Linked DNA regions of Caenorhabditis elegans. The protein of the gene in region 1 purifies or fractionates together with the protein of each later gene. This does not show direct contact. Each region holds a gene or a part of one and is shown on either strand. Other genes may lie near its edges.

Region 1 (7,856 bases):
AATTTGAGTTTTCGAGGGTTACGGTAGCGCCAAAAGTACGCAAACACCGAATTTCACGAAATTTTTGAATTTTGAGTTGAAAACTGAAGTTTAAGACGAGAATTGGGCAAGAAAATTGAATTTCAAATCAGATTTCACAAAAAATCGCTCAAAATTCGAAAATCGGTTCAAATTCGGTGTTTGCGTACTTCTGGCGCTACAGTAACCCGGGAAAATTCAAAATTAAGCTAGAAAGCTCTAGTTTTCATATTTTCAGGCTCATTTTTTGTGTAGAATCCGAAAATCCGGCGTACCGATTCCTGAAAATCCTGCAAAAAAAGTTGGGCGGGCTGTACGTCGGGTCCTCCGCTGTAGAATGCGTCGATCGCTCGACACACCGTTTCCATAGAATCCATGTGATTTTGTTCTGAAAATTAGAGGAAAAATTGAGAAATCTTCTGAAAACTGTTAAAAAATCGCTGAATTTGAACAAAAAATTGGGGAAAAGACGAGAAAATCGATAAAATTTGGTTAAAAAACCCAATAAAATCCAAATAATTGAAACAAAATTTGAGTGACGGAAAAATCGTTTAATTTGTAAAAAATGAGGAAAATCTATGAGAAAAAAGCCTAGAAAATCAGAAAAAATACCAAAAAATGGGTGGAAAAAGAGCACAAAATTTGAGAGAAACTGGCCAAAAATAGGGAAATAATGGGAGAAAAATGCTCGAAAATGAGCAAAAAATGGACGGAAAATCTACAAAAAAATGGTCAGAATTAGGGGAAATTAGGCTCAAATGAGCAAAAATCGGGGGAAAAATGCTCCAAAATGAGCAAAAAATGGTAAAAATTAGGGAGAAAAAAACTTAAAATTCAGCTGAAAAAGGCCGAAACTAGGGAAAAATTAGGGGAAAAATTGAGAGAAAATGGACGAAATTTAGGTTAAATAGGCTCAAAAAAGAGCAAAAAAATAGAAGAAAAAGCTCACAAAAGAGCAAAAAAAATGAACAAAAAATCTACCAAAAAGGACAAAAATTGGACGAACAATCTATCAAAAAATGTTCAAAAATGAGCAAAAAATGACCAAAATTCAGGGAAAAAACGGCTCAAAAAAGAGCAAAAATGCTCAGAAATCAACGAAAAATTATCCGAAAAATCAATAATTTAGAACGAAAACAAATCGATTCGAGCCTCAAAAAGAGCACGTGAGCATCCGAGCATTGGAGTGTAGCCGCCGGCAATGTATTCCTGTAAATTTTCCAATCTTTGGCTGAAATGTGGCCGAAAATCGCTGGAAATTACCGCAGTGGGCTGTCGAATGTGAGCCAGATAGCCGAGAGCCTCGATTTCCGAAACATTTGGCATTGGTGGACCATTGATAACCAATTCGAGGGGCTGAAAAATTGAAATTTAAAAAATTTAAAGATTTTTCCGACTGAAAATCAATTTTCAATAGCAAATTCGAATTCTCCGCAAAATTTTGCACTACACCGCGAAAACTAGGCCTTTCTAGCTCAATTTTGAAATTTCCCGGGTTACGATAGCGCCAAAAGTACGCAAACACCGACTACAGTACCCCCAAAACACCCGATTTTACACGATTTTCGAATTTTGAGCTGAAAATTTAGGAATAGACTAATTAAATGGCAGAGAATTCGGATTTCTTATCGAAAATTCGTTAAAAATTTTTTTTAAACCGGCTAAAAGTCAAAATTTCAATTTCCAGCAGAAATTTGAACGGCTCTGCAAATTTTCATTGTGGAATTCGAATTCCTCGTCATTTTATTAGTCTAATCCTAAATTTTCAGCTCAAAATTCGAAAATTGCGTCAAATCTGGTGTTTTGGGTTACTGTAATCGGTGTTTGCGTACTTTTGGCGCTACCGTAACCCAAGAAATTTCAAAATTGAGCTAGAAACCTCTAGTTTTTGCAGTTAAGGGTGAAATTTTGCGGAGAATTCAAAATTGAGCTTTTAAATTCGAAATTCCGATATCCAGATCCTATTTTCTAGGATTCTTTAAAAAATACGAAAATTCCGAGGTTCAAATCTTTTTCTGCAAATTTTCATTGTGAAATTCGAATTCCCCGCCATTTTATTAGTCTATTCCTAAATTTTCAGCTCAAAATTCGGAAATCGCATAAAATCGGGTGTTTCGGGGGTACTACCGTAACCCTCGAAAACTCAAAATTGAGCTCTAGTTTTCGAATTTAAGACTGGATTTTCACGGAGAATCGGAAAATTGACTTGAAAATCTGAAATTTCGAGTGGAAAAGCTGCATTTTTTCGATTTCTTCCGAATTTTCATGTCCAACCTGGTGAACATAAGCCCTTCCGGCAACACGAATGACCGTATTAAACGACATATTCTCGGCGGCACGTTTTCTCGTCTGTAACATCTCCTTATTTCGGCGTTTTCGTTTCTCCTGTTCCTCCTTTTCCTCGAGTTCCTTTTCGATTTGCTTTTTACGTTCCCGATCCAGAATTACTTCGGCCGCCACATTCGAATCGCGAAGTTCGTCCATAATTTTCCGGGTGTCTGTGACTGCGGAGGCGGCTTCTTGTTCTTTCTGCAAAAAAAAAAATTGAAAAAATTTCAAAATTTTTGGAAAAAATCTCAAATTTAACAAATTTCCCTATACATAATCAAATTCCCCACAAATTTCACCCTTAACTGCAAAAACTAGAGGTTTCTAGCTCAATTTTGAAATTTCGCGGGTTACGGTAGCACCAAAAGTACGCAAACACCGAATTTCACGAAATTTTCGAATTTTAAGCTGAAAACTTGAGAATAGACAGAAAAAATAGCGGAGAATTCGAATTTCTAAACGAAAATTTGAAGAAATCTGTTTAAAGTAATGAAAAATTGGAAAATCTCAAAGTTTTTGTAGATTTTTATGGAAAATTCAAATTTGAAATTGAAAATTCTGAAATTTCATTATCAAATTCGAATTCCCCGCCATTTTCTTAGTCTAAAACCCAATTTTCAGCTCAAAATTCGAAAATGACGTGAAATTCGGTGTTTTGGGGTACTGTAGCCGGTGTTTGCGTACTTTTGGGGCTACCGTACCCCTCAAAGTGTCAAAAGTGAGCTGGAAACCTCTAGTTTTCGCGGTTCTGACCGAAATTCGACGGAGAACCTGAAAATCATGATGATAAGCTGGGTTTTTATGGATTTTTCATCCGAAAACTGGAATTTTTTCTAATTTTCGTCCAATTTCCCCAATCCTAACCGCGTCCATCTCCATATGATCCGTCATTCTCGCCTTCATCGCTCGCTCCTCACGAAGTTGGTCTTCGATCCATTTCTGATCGTCATCCAGTCTGGAAAAATCGGAATTTTCAAGAATTCGAATTTTCACATAAAAAGTTGCTCCGGGCGGTACCTTCGCTTGTTCCGATCGATTTGCTCTTTGTGCTTCTCCTCAAACGCCTGAATTTCGGCATTTGTCTCGTTGACGTTTGTCTCGAATACGAGGTTGTAGACGACTGTCTCGAATCTGAAAAATTGAAATTTTGAATTCGAGGGGCTGAAAAAATGAAATTATTGAAAATTTTTATAATTTCGGAGCTGAAAATTGTCTGAAAATCAATTTTATCTCGCAAATTCGAATTCTCCGCAAACTTTCAGTCGGAAAACTGAAAACTAGAGGTTTCTAGCTCAATTTTGAAATTTCCCGGGTTACGGTAGCGCCAAAAGTACGCAAACACCGTCTACAGTACCCCAAAACACCAAATTTCACGCGATTTTCGAATTTTGAGCTGAAAATTCAGGATTAGACCAAGAAAATGACGGAGAATTCGAATATCTTATCGAAAATTCGTAGAAAAAATTCTTAAAATTTTTGAACCGTCTAAAATTCGAAATTTTAATTTTCACTGGAAATTTCAGCGGTTCAAAAAATTTTCTGCAAATTTTCATTACGATATTCGAATTCTCCGCCATTTTCTTAATCTATTCCTAAATTTTCAGATCAAAATTCGAAAATCGCGTGAAATTCGGTGTTTTGGGGTACTGTAGTCGGTGTTTGCGTACTTTTGGCGCTATCGTAACCCTGGAAATTCCAAAGTTGAGCTAGAAGGTTCTAGTTTTCGATTTTCAGGCTGAAATTTCACGGAGAATCTGAAAATTGAGCTGAAAACACTGGAATTTCAAGTTTTCAGGCATTTTTTTCCGTTTTTTCGCTCAAAATTCGACGATTTCTGCCATTTTACCTCTCCTGATAGTCTCCAAACTCTCGAAGATTCTCAAAATCATCCTGTTTCAGATTATAGATTTTTCTGAGTTTTCTTCGGAGAAAAGTCTCCTTATCGATAAGTGGATCCTCGTAGATTTGTTCTCGGAAATTATTTTTTCGAAGGACCCGGTTGCAGACGTGACAGTTGCCAGAATTCAATGCGAAAATGTTGTCCACACAGTTTCTGAAAAAATCGCAAGTTTTTGGGGTGGAAAATGAAAATTTGGGCATAGCTTCCGCATCCCCGGTGACAAATGTGCCCTATTGCACAAATTGTTGGCTGGAATACGGTATTTATTGCATGTTTCAGCCGAGAATACCAACTATTCAAACCATCAATTATGATAGAAGCACACAAGTCACAAAAATTTATGAAGTTTTAGGGAATTTATTGGAATTTTTTGGAATTTTGAATTAAAAATACCAGCTTTTTCTAAATTTTTTTGAAGAAAATCTCAAATCCTCGAGGTTATTTCAATTTTTTTTGGCTAAAAATGCCAATTTTCGAGATTTTTTTCTCGACAGACAGCGTTAAATTCAAAATTTCACAGCACGCGTTGCGGTCGCGTCGCGGTTCTAGCTAGAATTTTCAAAATTGAGCTAGAAACCTCTAGTCTTCGAATTTCCGACTGAAATTTCATGGGGATTCCAGTTTCTGAGCACAGAAAATTCGAAAATTTACTGAAAACTTGGGAAAATCGTTTTTTTTTGGGATTTCGGCTTACAATTTAAAAAAAAATGAGAGAACCCGCTATTTTTAGCGGAAATTAGTTGAAAATTGTGGAAAAATCGGTTTTTTTCCGCCAAAAATTTGCCAAAAACTGAGATTATTCTAAACTTCTGCCATTTTCGGGCTAAAATGTCGAATTTTTCCAAATTTCCAGGTAGAAAACTCGCGATTTTGCGATTTTCACGGATTTTCACGGATTTTCACGGATTTTCACACTAAAATGTCGGAATTTTTCCAATTTTTCGGCCAATATATCGATTTTCCGGGCGTTTTCTCACTTGCAAAGCGGGTGGCCACATTCATTGATCATCATGACGAGCTGCTTGTTGGTATATTCATTAGACTTGCATTTTTTGCACTCCTTCATCTTGAAAATGGAGTTTTTGGTGGATTTTTGGGTTGAAAGTGGAGTTAATGACCTGAAAAATGAGAAAATTTGGATTTTTCGCTAAAAAAGCAGGAAAAATAGAGGAAGTTAGGCGAAAATCCATGAAAAATGCATATTTTGACGCCGAAATTGGTGTAGATCAAAAATTTGCCAATTATAAGATTTTCGAGAGGAAAATGTTGAAATTCCTTGATTTTCAGCGATTTTTAAGCAATTTTTCAGCTAAAAAATTGGCAATTTCTCAATTTTTTGGGAAAAAATCCCAGATTTTCACGATTTTGTCCATTTTTCGCCGAAAATTCCAGAATATTCACCGATTTTCTGCTCCACGATGGTCTTATTGTGTGGATAAAGCTTGCAGAAGATCGCTTGACGTTTCAGCGACTCCAGCTGCTTCTGACCCTCTTCGTAGAGCTTTTTCTGCTCGGTGACGTCACAAACTGCGCGATTTGCGACAAAGTGGTCACGGATACGGCGTTGGAAGAACGATCTGTAGTTGTACTGTGGGATCTGCAAGAAAATCGGAATTTTTAACGGGAAATTGTGGGAAAAATCGAAGAAATTGATTTTTTGAGGTCGAAATTCGAAATATTTCGAATTTTTCTCGAATTTCGTCAATTTTTTGTTGATTTTCTCGTTTTTCAGCATAGTTTCCGCATTTTCCAGCTTTTTTCAGATCAAAATCGCCGAAAAACCAGCCAAAAACCAACTTTCTCAGCCTCCTTCTGCAATTGTTTGTAGAGGTTGACCCAGGCGCTCTTCGGAATTGCGGAGCTCATGAAATTCACTAACCCTGCAATTTTAGCTACTTTTTCTGTGAAAATTTGCAAAAAAATCGGTGAAAATCGAATGAAAATCGCTAAAAATCGAAGAATTTCGTTTCAAAATCCGTTGAAAATAAGTGATGCGCGTCGGGTCTGGTGTATTGTACGCAAACACCACAGACAAAAGATAAACATTGCGGACTTTTGCACACTTTTGCACAATTTTAAGAGAAATCTGCATTTTAAAATAAAATTAACAAATAATTTATTGAAAATAGAAAAAATTTGAATAAAAATTTTCAAATATGAGGCTAAATTCAAAGTTGAAAACTGAATTTCAGGCGGTTTCATTGTCATTGGAAAAAGTTCGATTTCATCTTTTAAAATTATTTTCCAGATTTTCTAATCCTCATTTTCGATGTCTACACCAGCTTTATCAGCCTACTCCGGAGTTTTCAGACAAAACAAGTGAAAATCGGCTGTTTTGGGGTACTGTAGTCGGTGGTTGCATACTATCGGGGCTACCGTAACCCTCGAAATAACGACCGGTAAAAAATTGTGGAAAAATTGGGAAGAATCGAAAAAATCTTATTTCTTCTTTATTTCTCTTATTTCTAAAAATCTATATTTGCACTTGCAATTCCTACTCCAGGCATATACATATCCATTTAAAAGCTCTAATTTTTCTACGTTGATTTTGTTATTAATATTTGCCCTTTTACCGGCAAAAGTCATACCCGGCAAAGCGGCAAATCGCCAAATTGCCGGTATGGAAAATTTCCGGCAAATAGGAAAACCGCCAAATTGCCGGTTTTGAAAATTACTGGCAAATCGGAAATTCGCCAAATCGCCGGAATTGAACATTTCCGGCAAATGGGCAAATTGTCGGAATTGAAATACCCGACAAATCGGCAAATCAGCAAATTGCCGGAATCGAACACTTTCGGAAAATCGGCAAACCGGTAAATTGTTGGAATTGAAAGTTCCGGCAAATTGGCAAATCGGCAATTGCCGGAATTAAGAATTTCGGGCAAATGGGCAAATTGTCGACTTGCCAAATTTGCCGGAAAACTTTCAGAATTTAGTTTTAATTGGCAAATTTGTACGCACCCCATGAATGCTTCTATGTACATCTATAAAAAATCCCTGAAAAAAATTCCGGCAATTTGCCGAAATTTTCTGGCAAATCGGCAAACCGGCAAATTTCCGACTTACCGAATTTGCAGGAAAATAAATTTTGAAATATCGCGTTTACGCAAACTTTATGAACTCTGAAATAAAATTCCCTATAAATACAAACCACCAAAAGTTCAAATTTTAGCTTTTTCAACTTAAAAATGCTTAAATCAATTATCCTCTTGATTTGCGGTGAGCACTATTTTTTGAGTTTCCCATTTATTTTTGGCTTTTTCAGCTCATTGTGCATTTTCGGATAGATTGGACGCTGGAAGTCAGGCGGATTGTGTGGCTGCTGCCAATAAAATCTACAACAACGAATGGGGATTTGATCATAAATTGGTACATTTTTCAAGCAGTTCAATAGAGCGCACTTTCACACTGAATAGAGAATTTTATAATCTACAACTTAGTCTCTTGGATCAACTTTCTAGAATGTCGTTAAAAGACGTTATGGCGAAAGTGCAATGGAGCGCACTTGCACCATGGAAAATTAAACCAGCTAAACTAAAAGTCGCGTAACTTTCTGCTAATTTTGCCTAGAAAGTTGGAGCAAAACAAAGTTGTAGAGCTTAACATTCTC
Region 2 (4,880 bases), on another chromosome or scaffold:
CGTTTCGCGGGGACAGCAGTTTTTGGCTGTTTTTGGCTTCTATAGGAAATTATTTTTGATTTTTTGTTTTATAATATTCTTGAGAAGCATCATCCGAATTTAAAATGTGTGAAATTATGAAATTTGACCGAAAACTGAAGGTTTTACAGGAAGGATTCGCTACGGCTTTCTTTAAAATGTATCAGAATCGTCAGTTTTTCGATTTCAGTCGTAAAATATGCCATTTTGTAGAGAAAAGTCTGTTTCACAAAAATCCATGTTTGACATTTCAAAATTGTTTTTATTTAAAACCTGAAAAATCGAAAAAATAAGCTTTTAAAGGTGGAGTAGCGCCAGTGGGGAAATTGCTTTAAAACACGCATATGGTACCACAATGACCGAATATCATGATAAAAATTTTTTCTAGATTTTATATGATTTTTTGAAAATTGAAAAAATCTCAGTTTTGCCTAATTCCTATTTGAATTACCGCCAATTGGATTTGTTCGATGGAGCGCGCTTGCACGTTTTTATTTTTATTTATTGTTATTTTTTCTTATTTTTCACCGACTTTTCATGTTTTCAGTGTATTTTTGTCTGAAATTTGAAGAAAAAGTCAAAATAAATGCTATTTTTTGAAATTAATTAATTCGGGTTCGAAATCGCTTAAATGCATTTTTTTAATTTAACGCCTGTAAGCGTGCTGTTTAATCGAAAATTAGCATTTATTTTGACTTTTTCTTCAAATTTCAGACAAAAATACACTGAAAACATGAAAAGTCGGTGAAAAATAAGAAAAAATAACAATAAATAAAAATAAAAACGTGCAAGCGCGCTCCATCGAACAAATCCAATTGGCGGTAATTCAAATAGGAATTAGGCAAAACTGAGATTTTTTCAATTTTCAAAAAATCATATAAAATCTAGAAAAAATTTTTATCATGATATTCGGTCATTGTGGTACCATATGCGTGTTTTAAAGCAATTTCCCCACTGGCGCTACTCCACCTTTAAAAGCTTATTTTTTCGATTTTTCAGGTTTTAAATAAAAACAATTTTGAAATGTCAAACATGGATTTTTGTGAAACAGACTTTTCTCTACAAAATGGCATATTTTACGACTGAAATCGAAAAACTGACGATTCTGATACATTTTAAAGAAAGCCGTAGCGAATCCTTCCTGTAAAACCTTCAGTTTTCGGTCAAATTTCATAATTTCACACATTTTAAATTCGGATGATGCTTCTCAAGAATATTATAAAACAAAAAAATAAAAATAATTTCCTATAGAAGCCAAAAACTGCTGTCCCCGCGAAACGAGTTCCCGCGAATTCTGGAGTTCGTGAGGTGCCGCGAGAGATCGCGTTCTAATAATTATGAACAATTTTTTTGTTAATTTCAGCCATTTCAGCCGTCGAAACAGTCCACGAAACTATAAAAATCGAGTCTCGCCGCACCGTGGCCTGCGAAGGAAATGTCTATTTCGAAGAAACGAACGTCATTCAATTTCCCAAAAATCTGCCGCCCAACGTACACGTGATCACCGCCGCCCAATATGGATCGAATTAAATGTTTATTTATAAATATTCGTTTTTTTTTTTGTTTTTTGTTTTATTATGAAAGTCTAGTGAAAAGAACTAGCTGTTTTATAAATTTATATGTCTCCCCTCTGGCTCCTCTCCTGTGTCTGCATATTGTCGTGAATTTCGCTGTATTTGCGTACTTTTTCTCCCCCGGTTTTCTTCCTTTTTTTTCGTATTTTAGACGAATTTTCAATTTTCCAAAAGAAATGGCGACGAAAGAGCGAAAACGACGCGGAAAATGGGATACCTACAAAGCAGAAGAAGCTCCATCATTGTATTCTGGAAATGCTGACAAGGAAACTAGTTCTGGTAACGCGGGGCTCTTTTCCTGGAAATTTTCGAATTAAAAAATTAAATTTTTAGTTCCAAAAGCTGCCTCGCACAATTTGAACGGAGAAAATGCGTCGTCAGTGATGACTGATGAGTTTGGAGCCAAAGATTATCGAAAGGATATGCCATTGAAAGTATGGAGAAGCTCTAAAAATTCGAAAAAATGGTCTGACAAGCTTGAAAAACCCAGAAAAATGGCAATTTTTACAATTTTTTGGCAAAAAAACCCTAATTTTCATGATTTTTTCACCCAATTTTCAGTAAATTAACGATTTTTCCCCCGAAATATCGAAAATTTGGTTAATTTCCAGGGAAAATCGTAAAAATTACTTTATTCTAAAATAATTTCGGTCTGAAAAATGTAAAAAGTTACGAATTTTTGCTATTTTTTTTTGTTTTTTTCGGTCAAAAAATCGTTAAAAAACACTTTTTTTCGAGTTTTTCAACCCAAATTGGCAAATTTTAATTGAAAATTCACAATTTTCAGGGTGATTTCACTGCAAGACCGCTGTGGGTTGCTCCGGATGGTCATATTTTCCTCGAGTCGTTCAGCCCGGTTTACAAGCACGCCAGGGACTTTTTAATTGCAATTTCAGAGGTTATTAACGTCTTTTTTCAGTTAATTCTGAAAAAAATTCATTTAAAAAAATTTGATTCATCTGAAAAGATTTATTTGTAAAAATTATGTTTGGCCAATTTTTTTTTGATTTTTTAATTTTTTTTTCCGTAAAAAATTCCAAATTAGTGCTTTTCAGGTCAATTTTAGAGGTTCAGCACTTTTTTTTCATGGAAAATGACTGAAAATTTGAGCCTAAAATTAACAAATATTAAATTTTTCCAAAAAAAAAAAATCGAAATTCTGATTTTTCAATTTTTCGATTATCTCTTACACATATTGCCAGAATTGAAAATTTCCGACAAATCGTCAAAGTGTCGGGATTTAAATTTTCCGGCAAATCGGCAACTTGCCGGAATTGAAAATTTCCGGCAAATCGGCAAATTGCCGGTATTGAAAGTTTCCGGCAAATCTGCAAATTGCCAGAATTGAAAGTTTCCGGCAAATCGACAAATTGCCGGAGTTTAAAATTCCGGCAAATCGGCAAATTGCCGGATTTGAAATTTTCCGGCAAATCTGCAAATTGCCAGAATTGAAAGTTTCCGGCAAATCGACAAATTGGTGGAATTGAAATTTTCCGGCAAATCTGCAAATTGGTGGAATTGAAATTTTTTGGCAAATCGGCAAATTGCCGGAATTGAAAGTTTCCGGCAAATTGACAAATTGCCGGAGTTTAAAATTCCGGCAAATCGGCAAATTGCCGGAATTGAACGTGTCTTGTAAATAGCTGATTTGCCGAATTTGACATTTCCGGCAAATCGTCAAAGTGCCGGATTTAAAAAGTCCGGCAAATTGCAGAATTTATCGAGAAAAAAATTTGCCGAACTGCAATCGCCACCCATCCCTGCTACATATTCCAATTTTCAGCCCGTCTGCCGTCCACAACACATCCACGAATACCAGCTAACTGCCTATTCTCTCTACGCAGCTGTATCAGTTGGCCTACAAACAAAAGATATCATTGAATACCTGGAACGATTAAGTAAAAGTCAACTGCCAAAAGGAGTCATCACATTCGTTCAAATGTGCACTGTGAGCTACGGAAAGGTTAAGCTTGTGCTCAAGCATAACAGATACTTTGTCGAATCGCGACATTCCGATGTTATGCAGAAGCTTCTCAAGGACTCTGTGATCCAGTCGTGTATTCTAGATGATCGTGTGCAACCTGCTCAGCAAACCGAGCTTCCTGCACAGGAAAAAATCAAATTCTCACATGGAAATGAGAATGAGAAGGGTGTGGAAAAGGATGGAGCAGCAGCAGACGGTACGGCGGCGGCGGCGACAGATGGAAAAGTTCCAGCTGATATTGATGAATTCTACGGGAAAATCGATGGAGATGATGAGGAAGACGCAGAGATTCGAAATTTGCAACTTCTAACGTTTGAGATCAAACAAGAAACGATCGAAACAGTGCAAAAACGATGTATCGAGCTTGAGTATCCACTGCTCGCCGAGTACGACTTCAGAAATGACACTTTGAATCCGAACCTTGGAATTGATCTGAAACCATCGACTACACTTCGTCCGTACCAGGAGAAATCCCTACGGAAAATGTTTGGAAATAGTCGTGCGAGAAGTGGTGTGATTGTTCTGCCGTGTGGAGCCGGAAAGACGCTTGTCGGAGTGACTGCTGTGACGACGGTTAACAAGAGATGTTTAGTGTTGGCGAATTCCAATGTTTCTGTCGAACAGTGGAGGGCTCAGTTTAAGCTTTGGAGCACGATTCAGGATAAACAGCTTGTCAGGTTTACTAGAGAGGCGAAGGATCCAGCACCGTCGGGAGCCGATGCGACCAAGGTTGGAGTGGAAGGAGTGGAAAAATAATGAAGAATTTTAGAGGAAAATCTGAAAAAAATTGAAAAATTTTCGACTTTTAGATTTTCTGAAAAATCGAAAAATTAACCATAAAAAATAATTGATGAGAAAAAAATTAAAATTTTTTCAAAAAATGAAGAAAATTTCGAGCTAATTTTTGAAAAATCGAGAATTTTCGATTTTTCGATTTTTGAATAATCGGGAATTTTCGATTTTCAATTTTTTGAAAAATCGGGAATTTTCGATTTTTCAATTTTTTGAAAAATCGAGAATTTTCTATTTTTCGATTTTTTGAATAATCGGGAATTTTCGATTTTTCAATTTTTTGAAAAATCGAGAATTTTCGATTTTTCGATTTCAATTTTTTGAAAAATCGAAAAACCGACACCCTTGGTCAGAGTGCCTCATTTCGGTTTGGTCTACGTAGATCTACAAAAAATGCGGCAGAGTTCTCAACCGATTTCGCATGGTTAACAACGTGTGCTTACGTCACATTTTTTGGGCAAAAAATTCCCGCATTTTTTGTAGATCAAACCGTAATTGGACAGCCTGCCACC

Evidence for each region.
Region 2: the proteins of mnat-1 (region 1) and xpb-1 fractionate together in Caenorhabditis elegans (co-fractionation; one large-scale study listed by BioGRID). This does not show direct contact.

The regions. Positions count from the first base shown.
Region 1 is NC_003280.10:2,472,965-2,480,820, forward strand, and holds mnat-1 (CDK-activating kinase assembly factor MAT1), read right to left. Parts: upstream 5,648-7,856; intron 5,389-5,647; 5' UTR 5,385-5,388; intron 5,366-5,384; 5' UTR 5,365-5,365; coding exon of another isoform or gene 5,357-5,364; 5' UTR 5,313-5,356; coding exon 5,224-5,312; intron 4,400-5,223; coding exon 4,193-4,399; intron 3,478-4,192; coding exon 3,364-3,477; intron 3,302-3,363; coding exon 3,211-3,301; intron 2,548-3,210; coding exon 2,293-2,547; intron 1,375-2,292; coding exon 1,282-1,374; intron 1,228-1,281; coding exon 1,144-1,227; 3' UTR 548-1,143; downstream 1-547. Other genes in the region: F53G2.12 (Complex 1 LYR protein domain-containing protein), read right to left, coding at 5,357-5,364, 5,648-5,843, 6,044-6,112; F53G2.3 (uncharacterized protein), read left to right, coding at 7,435-7,465, 7,512-7,615.
Region 2 is NC_003281.10:11,524,914-11,529,793, forward strand, and holds the start of xpb-1 (General transcription and DNA repair factor IIH helicase/translocase subunit XPB), read left to right. Parts: upstream 1-1,743; 5' UTR 1,744-1,768; coding exon 1,769-1,871; intron 1,872-1,925; coding exon 1,926-2,026; intron 2,027-2,379; coding exon 2,380-2,490; intron 2,491-3,375; coding exon 3,376-4,305; intron 4,306-4,880. Other genes in the region: Y66D12A.16 (Spen family transcriptional repressor), read left to right, coding at 1,382-1,548.